2 linked regions of the Mytilus edulis genome follow. The protein of the gene in region 1 interacts with the protein of each later gene in a pairwise test. Links are inferred from orthologs where the notes say so. Each region holds a gene or a part of one and is shown on either strand. Other genes may lie near its edges.

Region 1 (11,430 bases):
TTAAATATTTATAAATCACTGTACCGCTTTCAACAGAAAGCAAAACTTGTACTGAATAGTCAGTTTTAAACCCTGACACGACAAAATGTTCAACATATATATGTGATGCATTTGTTCTCTTTGGCCATGTAAGGTTTTTGCCCTAAAACCTCAAAAAATTAACTTAGTATTTATATACTGTTTTCACATTATCAAATATTTCTCAAAGTTTGGGTCATGACAAAAATTAAGAGAACTCTTTTGCAAAAGGCAGGTCAAGTTTTATGTGAATCTAGATAATAAGATAACTTCATCAGGCCCGTAAAAAGAGTGCAAAGTTAACAAAATAGTAGTCATGGGATGTTTTAGGGAGAGATTATCCTATTTAGAAATCATTTATATTAACAAAATTGAATTGCACTTTTCCGTATCTAATTTAACTAACTACCAGAATAAGATTGAATTACTAGAAACATGGCAATAATAGCCAACATCATTACCCTCGGTAGATAATCTCAACTATACAACATTACTAGGGTTGTTACGGATCATTCAAACATTAAGTACGAGGTTAGATATTCACAGAGTACAAGTTCACTTTACATAGAAGTGGGTTGCCATTCACCTGCTGTATAAAACTTAAGATATTCACAGATTTGAGGTTCTTTTTACATAAATGTGTGTTGGCATTTGCCCACTGAATGAAACTTGCATGATACTGAATATAAAATAAGGTGATGTGGTATGATTTCCAATGAGACAACTTTACATCAAAGGGCTAAGATGTGAACAACTGCAGATAACTGTACAGCCTTCAACATGAGAAAATATCCTTATTTTACTTGCTTATTTCTCATGGCCAGCGAATGGCTGGAGTTTTGATGAAGTGTTTAGAACTAATTGTGCATGAGGTTCATTAAAATTAAGATTATCATCAGTAGAATAGTATATATTCTATTAGGAATACATGGAGGTGCAGGGGCGGTGTCTTCGAGACATTATTGAGTTTTTGCAAAGCACAAGTTTACCAAGAGATTTTCAAAAGCTTTAGTCAAGTATTTTAACTTTTTGACACACCATAAGGATGAATTACTATTTAACCAATTTTAAGTACAAAGCATTTATATTGTGTCTAAAACATTTGATTAAACTAAATATAAATGATACAAACATGAATGTTCAGACACAACAATAATTGGGTGGTGTGCAATTCAACATATCCACATGTCTGATGCTTGATGCGGCTGATGCACATACATGAACAATGAAAAACTAAACACAGAAAGTAACAATTACAGTATGTTACCTGTTCATAATTGAAAGAATGCTCACAACTAAACACAGAAATTCATCAACTAACAAATGACGGTATACATGTTCAGAATTGAAAGAATGCACACATTACTGAAAGCAAGAAATTAGAAAAACAACAAATTATATATGTTCATAATTGACAAATGCACAACTAAACACATCAAAAACAACCAAGAAATCTCCACCTGAGAGACCAAATGATTTATTTCATTATAATACCTTCAACAGTGAGCACAATCGACTATAAAAGGCCTAAAAATGACAAATGTATTATAAAATGTTCAAAACAAGAAACAAAAAACAAATATGGTATACATGTACAACCAACAAACAACAACCACAGAATGTGGCAGGGGTTAAACAATTATATTATGTTCAAAATTGAATGAACACAACTCAACACAACAACAGAATTGACAGATCATGCACACACAACTCTGCACAATTTTTTTTTCTGTGTGAATATGATTTTATAAACAGAATTTATAGTAATAAATTAATTAGTGAAGAAAGATGATGGATGTTGAAACACCTTAGTCTACTTTAAAGTTGATGCTGTTATTAAGAATTCTCAAATTAACAGGTTTTTGCCTAACAAGATTACCCTTTTTAATTACATTTAATGACACTATACTATTACACCATTGAGGTCTCCACATCTGTTGCCATAGTAACAGATGATAATGGAGACACAAAGACAAACTGAAAATCCTTCCATTACAAACTATTTTGTACTTCTCCAGGGAAAGTCTTTTTATGGGTAGGACATTTATTAGTAGTTTTAATGAAGGTTAATTTTGTTATTTTGTAAAATGCACATTAGCATCTGTTGCAGTGCAATCTGTTCCTCTTACAACAATAAGATGGTTTATACGATAAATTTAATATTTATTTTCTTTTGTCAAGCTTTAATAGAATTCCAACTATTTGTAAAGTTAAAAGAAATATTTTGCTAGCTTTCTGCACATTAAATATTGTGCAGCGTTGATTGTGGTTCTGTAGACTTTGTTGCGCTTTAAAATGACACCCACTGTGTAATTTGACATTCTATGGATATATTTGGAATAACTGGAATTAAGCAAATACTTATTTAATGCTCCTTCATTAGTGCACAAGCTGTTTTCAATCAGAATGGTGCAGGAACAATTTGCATGCAATTATGTTGAATTGAGGCAAAATGAATGTACATTATTAACAAAGCTTAAGAGTACATTTATAATGTCAATTTCAATTGTCATTATCATTTTTTCATTGTTGATTGGCAGTTTTCATGTTGCAGACTTCCTGCACATGATTGCCATAAAAGTATCATCCTGTTTTGCATAAGGTGCACTTTTTAATTTGACTTTAGTGTAAATATGGTGAAAGTTCATCTGATCGTTATTTGACATCAGTAATTTCCAACATTTCAAAATGATGCATCATGGATAAAAATTAATGAATGCATCTGTTGAACATTTACCTCAACTTGCTGATAATGCTATTTTTAGCCATTATTTTCTTAAATGGCTCTTTTAATAATTATATAAAATATTTATGAAGAAATTGCTGTTGTCTTAAATACTGTACCTTGTGATTTAGCAGAAAATTTCACAAAGTTTTATGTCAAAACAAAATAAATTTCTGGTCTTTAATAATATGCTTTTACAATGAATTTGTGCTTGCATAAAATTTATTCATAATAGTGCTAATACTGGAAAAATATGCAAATGATATAACAACCAATCACAGATAGCCAGCTACTTTTTATCTTTTTGTCATGTTCTATATGTCCATATTACTTTATTTGGGACATTATAAGGTGTTGACTCCCTCTGAAAAAGTCACAGTAAGATGTGTGGGGCTAGATGTGCCAGCATATCACATAATAAATCTTGGATAGCATAATATAAAATGAAAATACCGCTTTTAGATGTTGTGTGTCTTAAACATTTACCTTCAACAGAAAGGCTCAATTCAAAAGCGTCAGGAATCAATAAATACTTCAATGCTTGGTAAGCTTTTTAACAAAAGGGAGTTTTACATAATGTTGAAGACCGTTTGTTGCTTTCTAGGTGTCTTTTGGTTATTATTTTTTTTTGGGGGGGGGGGGGGGGGGGGGGGTTGATCAGGTTGCTCAGTCTTTTTGACATTAATTAACACACATATTTTTTATTCATAACTTAATTTGAAAAATTAAGATTTGGTAATATATCTTGAGATTAACAGAATTTGAATTATGATGGCCAATGACTAAGAAGGTACAGTTCAATATGTAATGTCCTGCTGTAAGAGGACTCAATGATGGTAGATGAATACTACCACTATGTGATTAAGTGCATTCCTGAATTTTTAACATATTTGAAAATTAATCAGTATATATGTTATATTTCTGTATGACAAGATATTATCTCCAGCAACATATAAACAATTGAGTTTTTACAGGAATGTTGTTGGGGTGTTTACAAAATACACAATGCTTCCTGCATTGTCATAATGACAACCTACATAAAATATTTCATATTGTTTCCTTAAATAATTGTCGTAAGGATTTACTTGGATAATCACCATTGGTAACTTACTTCATGTATTGAACAGGGGTGACTGGAAGATTTTTCCTCAATCAATGTCACATGGGTTGACAAGCAATGCCAGACCGGCAGTCAGTGTACATGTAACAAGATAAACTCATCAGCTGTTTTCTTTAGGCTTTGGAAGTGCAATGCATGTGCAAATGTATCTTAAAAAAAACCAGTTAAATGGACAATGGCCATTACAGTAGCCCCTATATTTGTTTCACTTGCAAGGGCAAAATGTGAATTTCAACTCAGTTCAGACTTTAAATTTGGATATCTCAATGATGCTTTAAAAAGGTACTATATTTTTTATCTGATAAACAACTCAATTAAAGCTAAGTCTATCTATATCTCCCATGTGGAGAGTTGCATCATTGGCAATCATACTGTCATTTTCTTATTTTTATAAGCACAAAAAAATTTGACAAAATTTATCAAAATTGCAGTTTATAATAGACATTCATACTAGGTCACTAGGTCACCTTGTACAGAATTACTGCAAAAAGTTGTTAAAAAAACTTAGTCCTAAGACAAATGAAACTGTAAAGTTTTAGAAGAGATTGAAGGTTTTTTTTTAGAAAAATCTGGGTTTGATGTGGAATAAAAATCTAGGGAAAGTTGCCCTATCTCCTAAACTATAAACTGTACCACATAACCAGTTGTAGAATTTGGTTAATTCACTAACAGTTTCTTTTCAGTTTGGAGAAAAGGAAACATTTTTGGTGGTTTTCTTGTTAAAAAAAGTAAGAAGGAATTTAAAAATTTAATAAAAAATAAATAATGTTCAACAAATAAAATACTATAAAAAAATACCTCTTTTTTTTTTGGGGGGGGGGGGGGGGGTATGCAATCATAATATGTACATTATAAGCATACTCTGCTCCAAATAATATTGCAAATCACATATAAAAGTTTTTCCTTTCATAATATCTGCCTCTCAGGATGGCTGTCCAAATGTACTAGATATTCTATAAATATATGAAGTCAAGTGTTTTGCACGGAGATGGGCAAAGTCATGGTCGTTCTGTTTGTAATTCAAACATAGAATACACGGGAAACAAATAATTTTGTGATTTTTGTTCTCTTATTTTATGGAAGGAGAATACAGAATAAGATATTAAGACTTGGTAGCTATTTTACATAATACCTCTTTAAAATTGGTAAGATTTGATGCAATACAAATTTTTGGAAATTGATAAACTTTAAAACAGTCTGGAACTTGATTGACAGTCCTTTGCTTATAATCCAGTGGCAAATATTTCAAACACATTTTGAACAATAAAATTGTATTTATTTATATGACTTAAATTTATTGTGATACTGACTCATCTGCCATTTTTTGTGTGTATTAGAAACATCATCATAAGCTCAAATTTATGCTCTTTAAGATGGAGTATCAATAGTGTCTTGACTTATTTAATACAAAACTGCCCCTCCCCTATTTCTGCATTTAACTTCTATTTATGCTTGTAATTATGCAACTAAATTAAGAACAAAATGACCTTTGATTTTCCCTGAAAAAGTAAACACCCACAGTCCTATTGGTTAGTTTTAAAAGTTTTATGGTATAAATATACAAAATTGAAATATTTACCATTTGTGTTCTTTTGTTTATGCAGATGCAACAGTTGTACCAATGTATTATTTTTCATTCAATGTTTTTTTTTAATTTGAAAAGTGATTTATTGAGAAAAATTAAATAAGAAAAGAAAAAAAAAATGTTAAAAAGTTTAAGAAAACTCTATGAAACCAGAAAAATAAGAATAACAAAATATTTAAAAATAGATGAACCCTGCATAGGTTTTGAACAAAAAGTTGCTTTAAAGAAATATTTTATATAGGTTTACTCTTTTCAAGTTCATATTAGTTTTGTGTGATGGGAAGATTTTAATCATGAAGTTTCTCCGTCAGCTATAACTTTTAGTATTAATTTAAGAAATAATGTATATAGATTTTGCATTAAAGAAACAGTTTTAACTTTTTAAAATTAAATGCAATATCTTTATATAAAAGTAAAATCAATAATCTAATATTACTATTAATTGATAAATATCCCTTATTTATGAAATAAATAAAATATTTTTCTAAACCACAACATATTAAAAAAATGTTTGTTTATATTATTTATGTTTATTAATATCAGCTGGACTTGGTGACCTATGTGTGGTGTAAATATTTAAACAATGACCATTGGCATATTGCCATCGGGTAGAAAAAGATTATATACTTACCTTTATTCATCAGGTAACATGAATCGGATGTCTAAACAGCGCCTGTCTTTTTTTGTCATTGCAAATGCAAATTTTTTGAATTTTGATATCCTTCATCAATATAATCAAGAACCAATAACTGATTTGACAGATTAGAAAATTAAGATATCTCAATGTAAAAACCTACAGGTTTACTATGTCCTTAAATGTCCTGGGGGCGGAGTTTACATGTCATTTATAGCTTTTACATCATTTGATTGGTGAACGGGAGAGAAATGCACCAAACGACCCAGTCTACATGCTATGTTTACTAAAACAGTTATAGAGTACTGCATAAACCCCATTTATGAGTGAAGTGTGAACCTAAGTGAACTGTGTCCTAGTTAAATGTGTGTTTCTACACCACATTTATTTTTTACTCACACATTAACAATGACATCGGTGAAGATAATAGTGTTAAGAGAAAACTTTAATTAATTGTGAGAAGACATTGACTTTTTATCCAATGTGGAGGATTACAACTAGTTATTGTTAACAAAGGAAGTCGATCTATATATCTAACATTATGTTTACGGATTACAATGGGCATGGACACGGTCCTATTCATCATGGCCACCCTGGACACCATCCAGGCCACCATCACATGGCGGGGTACGGACCACCACCCCCTCCCCCTCCTCATCATCACCAGGCCCAGTACTCTCAGTATATGAGACCAAGGGTTGATCAGACAAGCGATGTTTTTACTTGTTTGTTCGGTGACTTGTTTGTAAAGTGGTAAGTGTCAGTATGATTGATCTTCACCTTCTTGTTAAATTTCTCTTTTAAATTTATGTAAATTTTAATTGTTTTTTGTGTTAAAATTCAGGATTAGTTTTTATAACTTTTTTGATGATCACGCATTTATGTAATAAATATGTTTCAATAGAGGATACAGTTAATTAAAGATATTGACATATCGTGTGGCATGAAACATATTGCTTATTGTAAATAATAAATGCAGTAATTTTCTAATTTAGTAATTTATTTAGTTTCCCAATATTTAATAATCTTGTTTTCATTCTATCAATTGATTACTAATATGAATATTTCATAACTGAATCATATGTTTTTGATATTTTTGTTATAATCGTCCTGCGCCATCTTTAAATCTTTTGTATAAATAAGGATTTACCTTTTAACAAATTTCAAATGTTAAACGTACTATAAATTTTAAAATTTCACATTTTGAAATTGAACAGAAATATTTATTATATTTGCAGATTTTATAGCTCAAAAGGTCATCTTGGGAAATGGAAAATTATTTGTAACTTATACTGCTTATCTCATTACAAATTTACCCTCACTATTCAGATTGTTGGTAAAGAATTTGAAATTTCAATAAAAAATTTAATATGCAGTTGTCTTAATAAAGATGTCTTTGTCCTGTATGTTAACATGTTTTATCAATATTGACATGAATAATCAAATTAAAACCTCGAGTCTGGAGCCACATGAACAATAAGGTGGAAACAGAGCTATTAAAGTTCACAGGAACCCCAAATAAAAAGTTAGGAACATTCAGAAATATGAACATTTACCATTGTTGTAAAAGTAAATAAATAAATGTAATTTCTAAACATTGTCCCAAATGAAATTCTGTAGCAAATCAAATTTTTAATTTGTCTGTAATTTGACGAAATTACTTAAAGGAGTGAGTTAAAAAATACAGAAAAGTCTCAGAGTAGATTAAGTATTATGAACAAAGTATAGAACATAGGATTGGTGTTTAGATTAACTTCCAATTAAACATATATAACGCCTTGTTTTCTCCAGTAATGGATTCACCTCAAAAGTACAAATCTATGAATTTCTCATTTTCTGGTGAAATCTGTTCTTCACATAAAATTTAAACCTATTAACCCACACAAACCCCTGACTGCTAATGGCACAATTAGTATTAGAATATAATAGCAATTTTTAGAAAAAATGTAGAAAAAAACACAATTGATTTTTTTTCCTGCTAAAAGTTGACCTTTTCAAATGCTGTTTTTATTTTAAATAGCATTAACATCATAATCAATATTGTATTCAAATGTAATGTTGCCATTTTTGGAATAAACTTTTGCACTTTTATTTTATAGCAGAATTAATAAGTTTGTTAGATAATGCAGTTGATTTTTTTCAAGACTAAAAGACAATCCCTTTGTATGTTTTATAATAGAGACAGATAGATTTAAATTGATATCATTTAGTGAAACAATGGAAGAAAAAGACATGATTAGAATTTCAATAGTATTCTTGACTTTATCTGCAGTCTATAGATGCATAATATGTATATGTTCTAGGTCTTCATTCAGTTATTGTTATTCCAGACTTATCCACTGAAAACCTACAGTTTATCAGACAGTTAACTTGATGGGCTGCTATCTCATCTTTATTCACCCTATGTCTCCTTTAATTCCTTACAGTAAATCAGCTTTTTATAGCTTGATAAGCAGTTTTGGTTTTGCTCATTGTTGAAGGTTGTACAGTGACCTTTAGTTGCTAACTTCCATGTTATTTGCTCTCTTGTGGGAAGTTGTCTCATTGACAATCATGACACTCCTTATTTTTGTGATCTTTTATTCCTCCCCTTCCAATGTTGGAACCACAGTCTTGTTCTGCTTAAATAACTTAGGCTTTTGTTTCAATAGGTGTTATCTTCTAGTTGGTTTGAAAAGGGTGAAGAAGAGGAATTAAAATATAAGCCACTTTCAACAAGTGCAACTTTTCAATGAACCCAATGCTAGAAACTTGGTGAACTTGGTAACATTTGTGAAATTGATATGCTTTAGTAACTTATTAATTGTGAAAACAAGTTTTTCAACAATTAAAATTACAAGCAGAGATAATTTTATGCAAAGAAGTTCAAATAAATGATAGCAAATGTCACAAGAAGTTGTACCATATGCAGTGAATAAGTTACATGTAGAAAATTTAACAATATTGCCAACAAAGGGCAGATAACTATGTTTTAGTAAAAAAAAATCGTTTTCACATCCTGTTTTAAACATAAAAAGAAAATTTGTCAGCCTGGAAAATGATGTTTAGCATTTTTATTATCAATGTTCAGTAGTGAATACATTTTACATACAAAGTCCATCGACCATGTAAATCCGACCGTGTATTGTTTTAGCCTAGAGGGACATGAGATGGCGACTTACTACACATTTTACACTCTTATATTTGACAAGTTTACCATGTACCTCACCTTATACACATTAACATATGACAATCTCTATTTATCATTGGAATAAATACACAAATATAAAAATAGCTGACCCCTACAAAAATCAATGCTCCCATAAATGAGAGCTGTTAAAAGACTATTCATATTTGAAACAAAAAAGTGTTAACATTGAAATAATAGATCAAAAATTTAAAAAAGAACATGTTTTATATATGAATATAGTTAAAAGTAAAATAGACCAGCCTACAGTAGCTTGCTTTCAATATAGTAAATAAAACATTTTTTTAAACTTAAAAAAAGTGTCTAATCAAGCAAAGTTATTAAGGATCGTCTTAATGATTGTACCTAACGGGAAAAGGATACTTGTATCAAAAAATAAGGAAAAGCTTTAATACACTTGATACAAGATTAGTATACCAGTTTTTAGTTGTTCTGAATATGAATAGAAAATATTGAGGGATGGTTTGAAGATCAAATGTTTTTGGTAAATCTTTATTTTTAGATATCTACAAGATACAGAGGTGTTTTATTGTATCATTTCAAGTTACAGTTTACTCGTCACAAAACGTGTGGCTAATTTTTTTTCCATGATTACTTGAGCAGAAAATGACTAAACTGTACCAACGTCAGCAGTCAAGTATTGAAAAACAGATGATGTCATTAAAAATATGTCAAGGGTATTTAATTTATCACCAATGAAATTAAATCATAAAATTTTTCATTTATAACATTGGTAATTTTATGGAAGAAGATTTCATTGAAATGTGAAATATAAAAATATTTTTAACAATAGAATTCTCATATTGATGTTTCTTGAATTGGCTATTTTAATACCACAACAACCATTAAAATCCATATATAAAATGATGTTTCTCACATTTAGAAGTATTCAATAAAAAATTAGAGCCAAAAGTCATAAAAATAGTCAATTCATAACATAAGTTAGTACTCTCTTATTACTGTACTGAATTATTATTTTCAATGAAGTTTTCTTACATGTGTTTTTCTCTTTCGCTATTGAAAAAGACATGATCTTTGGTCTATTTACATGAGTAGGCAGATACTGAGATAAGTGGGACTTTGCAGGTGCTGATTGTATGGAGGTGTTGTCCAAGAATTGGCTCGAAGTAAAAAGTGCTAATTTGAGGTGGTTAATACACAGCCAAATGTATAGTTATAAAAATGTATTTCAAGGGCTGATTTAGTTAACGTAGAATAGTATCTTTCAGGTGCCAATTATTTTAATTTTTTTTTGGGGGGGGGGGGGGGGGTGAACTCCCAATTGTTAACCTAGAAGAATTTATCTTATACCTTTTGAAGAAAAAGCATTGAATTCAAAATGTTAAAGGTTTTAGTGTTGATGATATTGAGATATGGTTTCCACAGAGATGGTTAGTGGAGAATACTGAGTATATCAAATCTAATTATTAGTCTTGGTATAGAGTAATGCTTTAAAAACGAGTATTATTTGTCAGAAAAAGAGAACTTAATGATTTGGCATTTTTTTGGCATTTTTGTAAAAAAATCATCAATATTTCCTGTTTCTAATTGTTTTGTTTTTATTGGAATCTATCAAGTGCATGCATTCAAATTAGAAAATTAACCAAAATGTGTGTCTATACTACCTCTCCTTTAAACATTTATGCATCATCATTATACACTCCCTCCGTGCTTTTATCATTTAAAAAATATTAAACAATTTTGCCGTTTTTAGGGCAAATTATCTATTTTCACACTCTCTCAGCCTTGAAATCTCTTTGATTTTTTTATATTTGTATATATACAAATGTATTGCATTAAACACTTTGTCCATATCCTACTAGCTTTTTAGCCAAAATTAATATGAATTTTGAATGCATATACTTGATCATAAAACCCCATTTATATAAAGAGCCCAGATCATGTATATCTCTTCACATTTATAAGATTTTTGTAAATTTTTTTTGTTCCTGTATATGTCCAGGTTTTTTTTTAGTTCTCTATTTTGCATGGTCTAACAAGCTATGGTTAGTTCAATTTCTGGCTTGATATGCAGGCTGATGCACATAAAAATATTATTCATATCAAAACTTTATCCCTATTAACTCTTTTTTCGTGTTAAATTAAAATTGAAGAAATGATTTTTACAGTTTTTATCTAACGTATTTCATGCTCAAGTTAA
Region 2 (11,303 bases), on another chromosome or scaffold:
CTACTTCTTTACAAGCAGAACCAAACACAATGAAAGTCCCAACTATGTACTGGCTTCCGAAGCTGCACAAAAAACCTTACAAATATAGATTTATTTCATCTTCCAGCCATTGTTCAACTACTAAATTGTCTGTTTTACTTACTAGTACACTTGGTACAATAAAAAACCTGATAATAAATTGTTCAAATAAGGCCTTTGAAAATAGTGGAATTAATTACTTTTGGAGTGTCAAAAACTCGTTGGAAGTACTTGATAAATTGCATGCATATATTGGTGATTTTGAATCTGTCCAAAGTTTTGATTTTTCTACCCTATATACCACTTTGCCTCATATTCTTATTAAGAAAAAATTCACATCCCTAATTAACTGGGCATTTAAAAAGTCGGAATGCGAGTACATATGTTCAAACTCTTTTAGATCATTTTTTAGTAGCAATAAACAAAAGAACTATGTCAATTGGACATGCTTTGATACTATTTATGCACTTGAATTTTTACTTGATAACATTTTTGTTCGCTTTGGAGATTCCGTATATCGTCAAGTTATTGGAATTCCAATGGGGACTAACTGTGCACCACTTATTGCGGACCTGTTTTTGTATTGTTATGAGTTACAATTTATGACTAAAATTAGCAAAGACCCATCAAAACAACATTTGATACAAAAATTTAACAATACTTTTAGATATTTGGATGATATATTGGCTCTAAATAATGACGACTTCAGTATGTATACTAAAGAAATTTATCCTGTAGAACTTACTTTAAATAAAGCTAATGATAACAATGACCACTGCCCTTTCCTCGATCTTGATATCTATATCATAAACGGGAAGCTTAATACAAAAATTTATGATAAAAGAGATGATTTTTCATTTCCTATTGTTAATTATCCATTTTTAGATGGTGACGTTCCCTTGTCGCCATCTTATGGTGTTTATATATCTCAACTTGTACGATTCGCTCGTGTATGTAACAATGTATTAGATTTTAGCGAGAGAAATTTATGTATTACTGAAAAATTATTACACCAGGGTTTTCGATATCACAAACTGGTCAAAACATTTACTAAATTTTATCACCGGTATAAGGAAATAATTCGTAAATATAACTCAACATGCAGACATCTTATACGTTCAGGTATTTCACATCCAAAATTTTATGGAAATATTCTTTATAAAGCACAAAAATGTCAGTATTCTCCTCAGAAACTAACAAAACCTTTAAATAGACTTATTAAAAGGGGATATAGTTACGATACTGTTGGTTGTCAGGTCATTAAAGATTGCATATTTTGGCTTTAACATTGATTCACTGATAGGGTCTTTGCATCGGAACTAAACACATTTATTTCTTAAAAAAAACAGTTGTTGGCATGACACGGGTTATGTTCTTCTCATATATTTTATGATAGTATGATACTAAACCCCTAACGGGAGGGATTGTACCTGATATTCATATGATGAAGACATAATCTTTCAATCAGTTTAATTGAGGTCTGGAGCTGGCATGTCAGTTAACTGCTAGTAGTCTGTTGTTATTTATGTATTATTGTCATTTTATTTATTTTCTTTTGTTACATCTTTTGACATCAGACTCGGACTTCTCTTGAACTGAATTTTAATGTGCGTATTGTTATTCTTTTACTTTTCTACATTGGCTAGAGGTATAGGGGGAGGGTTGAGATCTCATAAACATGTTTAACCCCGCCGCAATTTTGCGCCTGTCCCAAGTCAGGAGCCTCTGGCCTTTGTTAGTCTTGTATGATTTTAAATTTTAGTTTCTTGTGTATAATTCGGAGTTTAGTATGACGTCCATTATCACTGTACTATTATGCATATTTTAGGGGCCAGCTGAAGGACACCTACGGGTGCGGGAATTCTCGCTACATTGAAGACCCATTGGTTGCCTTCGGCTGTTGTTTGCTCTATGGTCGGGTGGTTGTCGCTTTGACATATTCACCATTTCCTTTCTCAATTTTATTAAATTAATTCCTGTTATCTTTGGACATGACGGAAGTTGTTACCGAGGGGATTTCAAAGCTAGTGTCCTGCGTTTTTATGATAACTTGAATGATGAGATTTACAGGAATGGCACATTTTTGATAAGTCATTTCTTTTCAAAGTCAATTAAGAGTTTGGTAAGATTTAGTAGGTTACTGAACATTTATTCTAACTTTCATTTTTTATGAAGTTCAAACACACAACTAACAGGAAGCAGACGCATATAATACATTATAGTAGTATATATTTCTCTGCAGAGAATGACAAAAAAATAAATGCATCTATGTGAAGCGATTTATGTTGAAGAACTTAACTAGAGACATAGATACTAAAATGTGTTTCTGGCTTAACTGAACTTGAAAATTGCATCTGTTGTTTAGATGAATTTTAATCAGTAGCGTGTTTTTTTGACGACCCATCGTTCCATCGAAATAGATGTTTCAAATGTATTTCAATGATAGTAACTTTTGAAAATAAACTGCATGTACTTAAAAACATATATATTTTATACTTTATGTTTTAGTACTGCAAGTTCATGAATGTTGATAATTCCATGAATGTGTCTTCAAGTTCAATGGCATCTATGAAAGGGCACTGCATGGTTTCTCTACTCTTCCTCTGTGTGGAATGTGAAAATATTAAAAAATATTTACTACAGAAAATTAAAAACACAAGAAAAAGACCAACAATACATACAAAAATGAAAATGACAAAAATCATAATCGAATATACTCCAAACGGATTGAGATCAGTTCTCGTATGCACGCATTAACCGCCACATCTAATTCCAAAGAAAACATAGTAGAATGATCCATGTAAACTTGTCGCTCCTTTAAATAAACTTATTCTAAAAGGTTACCTATTCAACACTGTAATAAGATCATTAAATATTGTTTTTATTGGTATAAATATTGATTTTGTTATCAGTAAATTAAAAGCTAACTAAATATTACTAGTATGTTATATACATATACATATTCATGGAGCTACAATCTGTCGATACCTGTAACTTGGCATTGCACAAGGTCATGTTTTTCTCTGGCTGTTTATGACGTCTTTACACTAAATCCATTGGATGTTGGATGTGTACGGATTGATAGTTTAGTCTTAGATGACCCCTCTTAGATGCATGATTTTTTATTAGTTGTTAGTGGCTTTGAACTAGCTGTCAGATAACTGCGAGTACTCTCAGATCTGTTCATTGCGTCTTTTTGTGTCGGGATGTATAAGTACCCGGCCACGTCTACTTGTATGTTTGCCCATCTTATGGGTTAAGCCTTTTTCAACTGATTTTTATAGTTCGTTCTTATGTTGCACTGTCCCAGGTTAGGGGGAGGGTTGGGATCCCGCTAACATGTTTAACCCCGCCACTTTATTTATGTATGTGCCTGTCTCAAGTCAGGAGCCTGTAATTCAGTGGTTGTCGTTTGTTTATGTGTTACATATTTGTTTTTCGTTCATTTTTTTACATAAATAAGGCCGTTAGTTTTCTCGTTTGAATTGTTTTACATTGTCTTGTCGGGGCCTATTATAGCTGACTATGCGGTATGGGCTTTGCTCATTGTTGAAGGCCGTACGGTGACCATTAGTTGTTAATGTCTTGTGTCATTTTGGTCTCTTGTGGATAGTTGTCTCATTGACAATCATACCACATCTTCTTTTTTATAGTAGAAAGTGTAGAACCTAGGAAATACAACAAGCAGGTCGTAATGCCAGATTGCAACAATGACAGTTTTTCCGAATTTTTGTTGTACGTTCGTCTGTGTACCTTTGATATGACACTGACTGACCAGAATCAAAAGTTGATTGAGATCAAATTAATTTAAGTTGCAACATTGAAGTTCGTGTTACTGTCACTATAGTCAGGAACTTCATTGGTGATTGTATCCCTCGCTCAGTATTTCATGATGTCTCAATACATTTGTCACTTAGGATAATGGGGCTGGAGATCAGATGCTGATAATCGCTGTTATTGACAGCTTTGTTAAAAACGTAGTCATTTTCTGATCCGCCATTGTTATCATGACTAAAATACAATTGTACTGACACTAGTGTTCTTTCAATATTTTATGTGTGTATCTTTTATTTGATACTTTATTCGTACTTTTAACTTTTGGTAAAATTTCTCATACGTCTGAATGATGATTTTTGAAACTTGCAGAAAAATATAAGAATGGTATCATAAATAATGAATTTTAACAACTAAAATAACCTACAATTTGAAATTACATCAAAGAATGCACAGAAATCCTCCTGAGGGTACGTAATCTGTTTTAAAGTTTTGTTGTTTTAAATAGCTAGATATATCTGTCGACTCATTTTCCATGTTTCACCGTTGAAAGTTCAAACAATTATATTTGTACAGCTGTATTTTGTTTCGTTTCGTTTAAAAATAAGGAGATGTGGTATGATTGTTAAATGAGACAAATATTCACCAAGTTCAAATAAAGTGGTTGAAAGAAATAACAGGCAACCGTACGACATTCAACAGTGAGAAAAACCCATATACTGTACAGTAAGCTATAAAAGGCCTCGACATGAAAAATATGAAACAATTGAATTGAGGAAATTAACGGCCTAATTTATACCATGCAAAAACAACTTAAAAAATGATCAAATATGACAAGACAAGAACCAATGAAAACCACTGAATTACAGGCTCCTGACTTGGGACAGGCAGTGACGGTACATAATATATGTGGCGGACTTAAACATGTTTGCAATGCACGCTCAACCATCTCCCCAAACTTGGGACGGTGGTGTAACAGCACAACATGCGAAAAAAAACTATAAGTTGAAAAAGTCTTAACTCGTCGGTACAAAGCATTTAAAACATCAAACATAAACAGGGAGTATAGAAAGTCCCTGACATAAATAAAGACTGGAATGAGTAGGGTATATGTATCCATCCCTCGTCCCTACCGACAAAAAAAATACAGTTACTGCACTTGTTTCGATTGCGATGGCGAAGACTCTCGGAAACAGACAGGGGTCTAAAAGGTTACAAGGATGGGTTCCAACCATATGTCCACCACTCAAAGGCATTGATCGTCAAAAAAAGATAGGTTCCATCCCCACGGACCCCCACCCTCGATCCACCACTGAGAGAGATGTTTGTCATCAAGCACGGATCATCATTATCATGCGACAAGTTCATACGGTAATGAGTGTTTCAGCTCTAGATGTTCCTAATTATGCATAAAACGTATCATGGAAAAGATGACCAAAGAAGGACTGGCTTTTTACTATACAAATCTTTAATCAATCTATGCCATTTTAACCACAGGGACTCGGTTAGCAGATTTTTTTTTAATCTATGTTTTTTCAGAGACATATAACACTAAAGTATTATATGTCTCTGTTTTTGTCGAGCCTTCGACTTTAGTCGAAAAAGCGAGACATAGCGATCCTACATTTCGTCGGCGTCGGTGTCGTCGCGTCGGCGGCGTCCACAAATATTCACTCTGTGGTTGAAGTTTTTGAAATTTTAATTACTTTCTTAAACTGTACTGGATTTCTACCAAACTTGGACAGAAGCTTGTTTATGATCATAAGATAGTATCCAGAAGTAAATTTTATAAAAAATAAAATTCCATTTTTTCCGTATTTTAATTTTAAATGGACTTAGTTTTTTTGCCGGGAAACATAACATTCACTCTGTGGTTAAAGTTTTTAAAATTTTAATAACTTTCTTAAACTATCCTGGGTTTGTACCAAACTTGGACAGAAGCTTGTTTATGATCATAAGATAGTATTCAGAAGTAAATTTTGTAAAAATAAAATTCCGTTTTTTTCCGTATTTTACTTTTAAATGGACTTAGTTTTTTTGCTCGGAAACATTACATTCACTCTGTGGTTAAAGTTTTCAAAATTTTAATAACTTTCTTATACTATTTTTAATGTGTATCAAACTTGGACAGAAACGTGTTTATGATCTTAAAATAGTATCCAGAAGTAAATTTTGTAAAAAGAATAATCCTTTTTTCCGTATTTTACTTTTAAATGGATTTAGTTTTTTTGCAGGGAAACATTACATTCACTCGGTGGTTAAAGTTTTTAAAATGTTAATAACTTTCTTACACTATTTTTAATTTGTACCAAACTTAGACAGAAGCTTGTTTATGATCAACAGCTATTGTCTAGAAGGAAATTTTGTACCTGTGTATCTGTATTTTACTTATTTATAAATGAACTTAGTTTTTCTTCCAGTTAACATAACATATAGTCTGCAGTTAAAGTTTTTAAAAATATTTTTTATTGATTTTTTTCTCATTATTGTTGAGCATGTGATTTACAGCAAAAGTAAGCGAGACACTGGGTTCCGCGGAACCCTTACGAATTTTTTTCAATCTTTTTTTTCGTATTTCCTGTATTACATTATTAACGTTTTTAACGTTGACATCAATACTTGTTTGTTTTCTAGCCATGTGCAGTTTACTATCAATATCTGTAACGTGAGGGTACCCAAATTTCACCTATTATAACAGTTGACAAAAGTTTTCATTATGTGATTATTTTGTATCATTATTTACTATACAACAGAAAAATTGGTCTGAACTGACCTCCAAACCATTAATGATTCTGTAATGAGAGTATCCAAATTGCATCCATGCTTAAATTCGCATCGTCAAAAGTCAAATCATGAATAATAGAATAATACTGAAAAAACATAGATTAGAAAAAATATCTGCTAACCGAGTCCCTGTGCAAGTGACCGGTTACATAATATATCCATTCCTTAAATCTGTTATTTTGTTTAAAACAAGCTATTTTCTTGTAATTTTATTGCATTATAACGACTTTAAATAAAGCTTCACAGTGGCGGATCCAGAAATTTTCATAAGTGGCGGGGGCCCACTGTCGGACCTCAGATAAGAGCGGGCCCGCTCCAGTCACACTTCAATGATTCCCTATGATATAAGCAACCATTTTTTTCCCCAAAAAGTGGGGCCCGGGCCCCCTGTCCCCCCTAAATCCGCCTCTGCTTTATGGTTTTGTGTCTTCTGTCTATTCATATTTGAATTGTAGCGCGGAAAAAACTCGCACCTGCTAAAATTAAGAGTTATTTCCCCTTAGTAAAGATAAGTACCACAAACAATCGAAAAGATACAGATATATATAGTTTTACTTCCTAGTTAAAGTTTCACCCACTTTGGTAAAGTTCTTCCTGTTATTTTTCTGTTTATTAATGAAGAGGGTTTTATTTGGCGAACTTTAAAAAGACCTAAGGTAAGAAAGAGAGTACTTTCAATATGTTTTCACACTTGTCTCTGATGTCAGATCACGATATAAACATAAATGAACTTTCTTTTTATACACATCAGTGGTACATTACCTGTTGATTTCCCAGGTAGGGACTTCCCCAATACTTTGAAATGAATTGACATTGCGCAAATAAAATAGATTTTTATAGAGACCCTGAGAATATGCCACAGCCGTACTGGTGCATTCTGAGACTACTATAACACATTATAGTAGTCTCAGGTGCATTTGATATTTAAAGCCTGTAGAAACTTTGCACTAGTTTAAGTTAGCTGACTAGGCCTGAAAGAATTATTCATCAGCTTGAGCTTATGTACAAAAAAAAAAAACTTGTTGGCTAAGATATGAAAATTGACAGAGTGTTAGTGTAGTCTTATAAACACATACTAGAAATAACAACTCTGCCAGTCTCTGGCCTGACATTGTTCATGTTGTTCTCTTTAATAATCTAAAAAGCTTAAATCACACATTGTGACTTTATATTACTGTTCAATGTACAATTCAGAGCTTACACTTGTAATTGTGGTGCATATATATATATACTGACTTCAGATTTATGTCCTTGATATTAAACTATTCCTCATTAAAATTGTCTAAACATTAGATCAATTGAGATCATGTGATTCATGAATGGCTGGAAATTTGTAAACACATTTATTTAATTGCAACAGCAATCAGATATTGTTCAGGATGCTTTACCATTTATCCTGTTTTTAATCTGATTCTGATCCAAATTGTATCCTTTGCATGATAAAAAAAGTCTGAACTTGTCTGGATTGTGCACCCACTCTTCCGAATGTTGCTGACAGAGATCAGATAGTGACAGTCGGTGAGCTTAACAGAAAACTGTTACGATTTTTATCAGATACTGCAGAATCTATTACAATAGACCCCTTTCAAGATATGTACTTCACAGGAAAAGTTTGTTGATAAGCACAACTTGATGAGATCATTTATTAAATATAGGGGACTGCGCTGTGTCCATGCACTTTTAAAGTTTATCAAGTGTCCTTAAGCATCTTTGTTATCGTCATTATGGTGTGTAAGTGGTCATGCATGTACATGTAGCTTTGCTAAATATTTGTATATATATTTTAATATGGAGCACCATTCTGTTTAATCTTGTATAAGTGACCACACTAGTACTTGAAACCTTAAATGATTTTCTCATGCCCAACACAAACATAAATAGTACGAAAACTCCCATTGAAGATCTAGAACTGAATGCCATGTTAATGGTAACTAATGTGTCCCTAATTGTCTGCTGCTAACTCAAAACATTTTCTCAGTGTACTGTAGATACTCGGTCCGTGTAACACTTATCAATTCAAAGTTATAAAAAGTTTTGAAATTTTAGATTTTTGGAATTTTGATCAAAGTTTTAAAATATCAAAATTTCAAATTGTGTTAAAGTTTTGAAATTTTGAAATTTTAACCAAATTATTAAAATATCAAAACTCTAAATATCGTTTATAAATTTGATATTTTAGAAACTTGATCAAACTTTTAAAATACTAAACCTAACGTGCAATTTTGATTATTTCACTTTTTGAAAGTTTAATTTTTTAAATGTTTGCTTAAAATATCAAAAATATAAAGGGGCGACAAGAGGGGTACCTGTAATCACTGATGTAAGCACTATTCTTAGTTATAAATAAATAGCATGAAATATTTCAAATCATTCTTAATAACAAAATGAATAATGAAAAGAAGAAGTCGGTTTTTTTTTAATGAAATATATTAGACATCACATGGGATAACAGTATCCTGAAATTTTAAGGTTGTGCATCTATCAAAAAAAAATATAATTAAACCTATCTAAACCGGAATCAACTACGTTGATTTAAATCTCTTATATAAGGTTTAGCGTTTGAGATAAATAATTCAAAGCTATTTTGTGTTCCCAGTGCCCAACATTTAGAAGTAATTTTGACGTGTTAGTTTTCATAGTTAAAGATTGGTTGCTCAAAAATCTTTCAGCATGCATGTTTCAATCAAGAAGTAAGGGTTCTTAGGATAAAGTTGATGTGTTTAAGTTGATGTCTATGTTTAACGTTTCCTCCAGTGCAAAGACAATGGTATACAGTTGAGTGGGAATCGTGTCATGTCAGGTAGATCACACATCTACGAGTTGTTCTAGTGGTTAGCTACTGAAGAAGTAACGGTTATAATTGTGGTTTTTAAATGGCATGGCCAGAGGCAATACCCGGATAGAGTTTGGGACTGAAAAATGTCCAATTGATGTAGATGTGCTCAATTGTGTTCGATAAATGCGGGGACGCATTTCCTGGAGGCATGGGTGATGTGATGAACTTGGTTCACCTGTTTTATTTTACTAGTGTTCTTCTTTTTATTTCTTTTATCAAGCTGAAACTTTGTTATACGAACTCGTTATGTTTGAAAGTTTTGTTTTTGGTTTTGTTTGTTTACATTGCTATGGATATTTATAATATTTAGAATCAGTAACGGACCGGTCGTGGTTAGCATACCCGGAAATATTCAGATCGGAAGTCGTAAACATAAGGGCCGTCATTCAAACGTTTTAGCATTAAGGGTTAGGTTATTATAAACACTCATATGAATAAGACATATGGTATCGTCCAAATTAAATGGTATGGTCCAAAACCTTAGTATATAAGCTGATGTGCTGTCAATTTAACATGCACTCCAAAATTATTGTATCATGGGGAGTGTTATGCCGATTAACGTCCGAGGGCTGTATCCTAGGCTGTTGGGTGATACGACTTTCATTTCACTGCCTCACGGCTTTGGTCCTGATAACGCTTCCTGTCATCTTTCGAACTACGTCCGAGATCATCTACCAGTACTCCATCATCGAGGCTAGCGGGCTGCCAAGCTGACCAAACTGGCCCTGAAAGCAGCCGTTAGTGAAGAATAAACAACAAAATAGTAAACAAACCAAAAACAACTCACCAAAACCAAGATGGCGGCCTACATATTGCGACCTCCACTACTTGTTCCTGACCCACGGCATCAAAATATGTTAAAGCTCACCAAACGTCTTCGGGCACCGAGCCGACCGTGCGAGGGCTGTATAGCCAGTCAAGGTCGTTAAACACCACCATATATATATATATAACAAAGGGTACTTGTTGGATAATCCAAACGTCTAGAAGAAGTAAGAACTTCAAGGTAATAGTTTTCACTTTATAAAGATTATATAGATTCTGAATAAGAATCTATCTGCGTACCTGAATAAGGTTGCAGGGGGATATTATAAAAGGAACATACGCACCGGTTAATAGGTGCCTAGACGACTGTGCGGTTAAAGTGCACAAGTAAAGCATAAACCAGAGAGAGTACTGGTTAAGCAGTGCACAGGCAGACTAGGCCAGATAGTGCACAGGATAGTAGTGCACAGGATAGCAGTGCAAAGGTTGAATATAGCCAAGGTGTAATAGTGCATAGGTTTGCATTGGTTGTTGCTGGACACACAAGGTCTTTTAGAGACAGAAAAACGTCCCACACATTGTTATTGTGTGACAGAGACCATACTATAAGTTTAAAAGATAGAAAGCGAAGAAACGGTGCATCTTCCAATATCCAGGTGTAAACTCTGGTACGATACCCAGAAGTCACTTCACCGAGTACGTGACAGTACATGTAGTTGTTAACTGCAAAAGGAAATTTCCTTTTTCCATAAAATACGGGACGATTACATATTATCATAATGCTAGAGGATACTTGTTTTGATCATAAACAGTTTCTGTCCATATTCTGTTAAATTTCTCGAAGGTTTGACGAAGTTCTTGATATTTAAAAAAAAAAAAAAAAATAACCACATACAACTTTTTTGAATTTTAGGTCCTAAATGCTCTTCAACTTTGTACTTGTTTGGTTTATAACTAGTTTCATCTGAGCGTCACTGATGAATCTTATGTAAACGGAACGTGCGTCTGTCGTGTTGAATTACAATCCTTGTACCTTTGAATACTGAACCAAATAATGAATCAACGAACAAAATTTGGAGCAGGATCAGCTTACCCTTCCGGAGCGTTACGTGTTTATGCTCAGTGT

The links.
Region 2: the proteins of thyroid hormone receptor beta-like (region 1) and proto-oncogene tyrosine-protein kinase Src-like interact in a two-hybrid assay, tested with the Homo sapiens proteins (2 studies listed by BioGRID). The link is inferred for Mytilus edulis from reciprocal best matches to the Homo sapiens genes VDR and SRC.

Annotation. Positions count from the first base shown.
Region 1 is NC_092347.1:5,669,681-5,681,110, reverse strand, and holds the start of thyroid hormone receptor beta-like, read left to right. Parts: upstream 1-6,354; 5' UTR 6,355-6,623; coding exon 6,624-6,835; intron 6,836-11,430.
Region 2 is NC_092344.1:80,768,408-80,779,710, forward strand, and holds the start of proto-oncogene tyrosine-protein kinase Src-like, read left to right. Parts: upstream 1-7,077; 5' UTR 7,078-7,232; intron 7,233-11,303. UniProt on the Homo sapiens protein: Non-receptor protein tyrosine kinase which is activated following engagement of many different classes of cellular receptors including immune response receptors, integrins and other adhesion receptors, receptor protein tyrosine kinases, G protein-coupled receptors as well as cytokine receptors.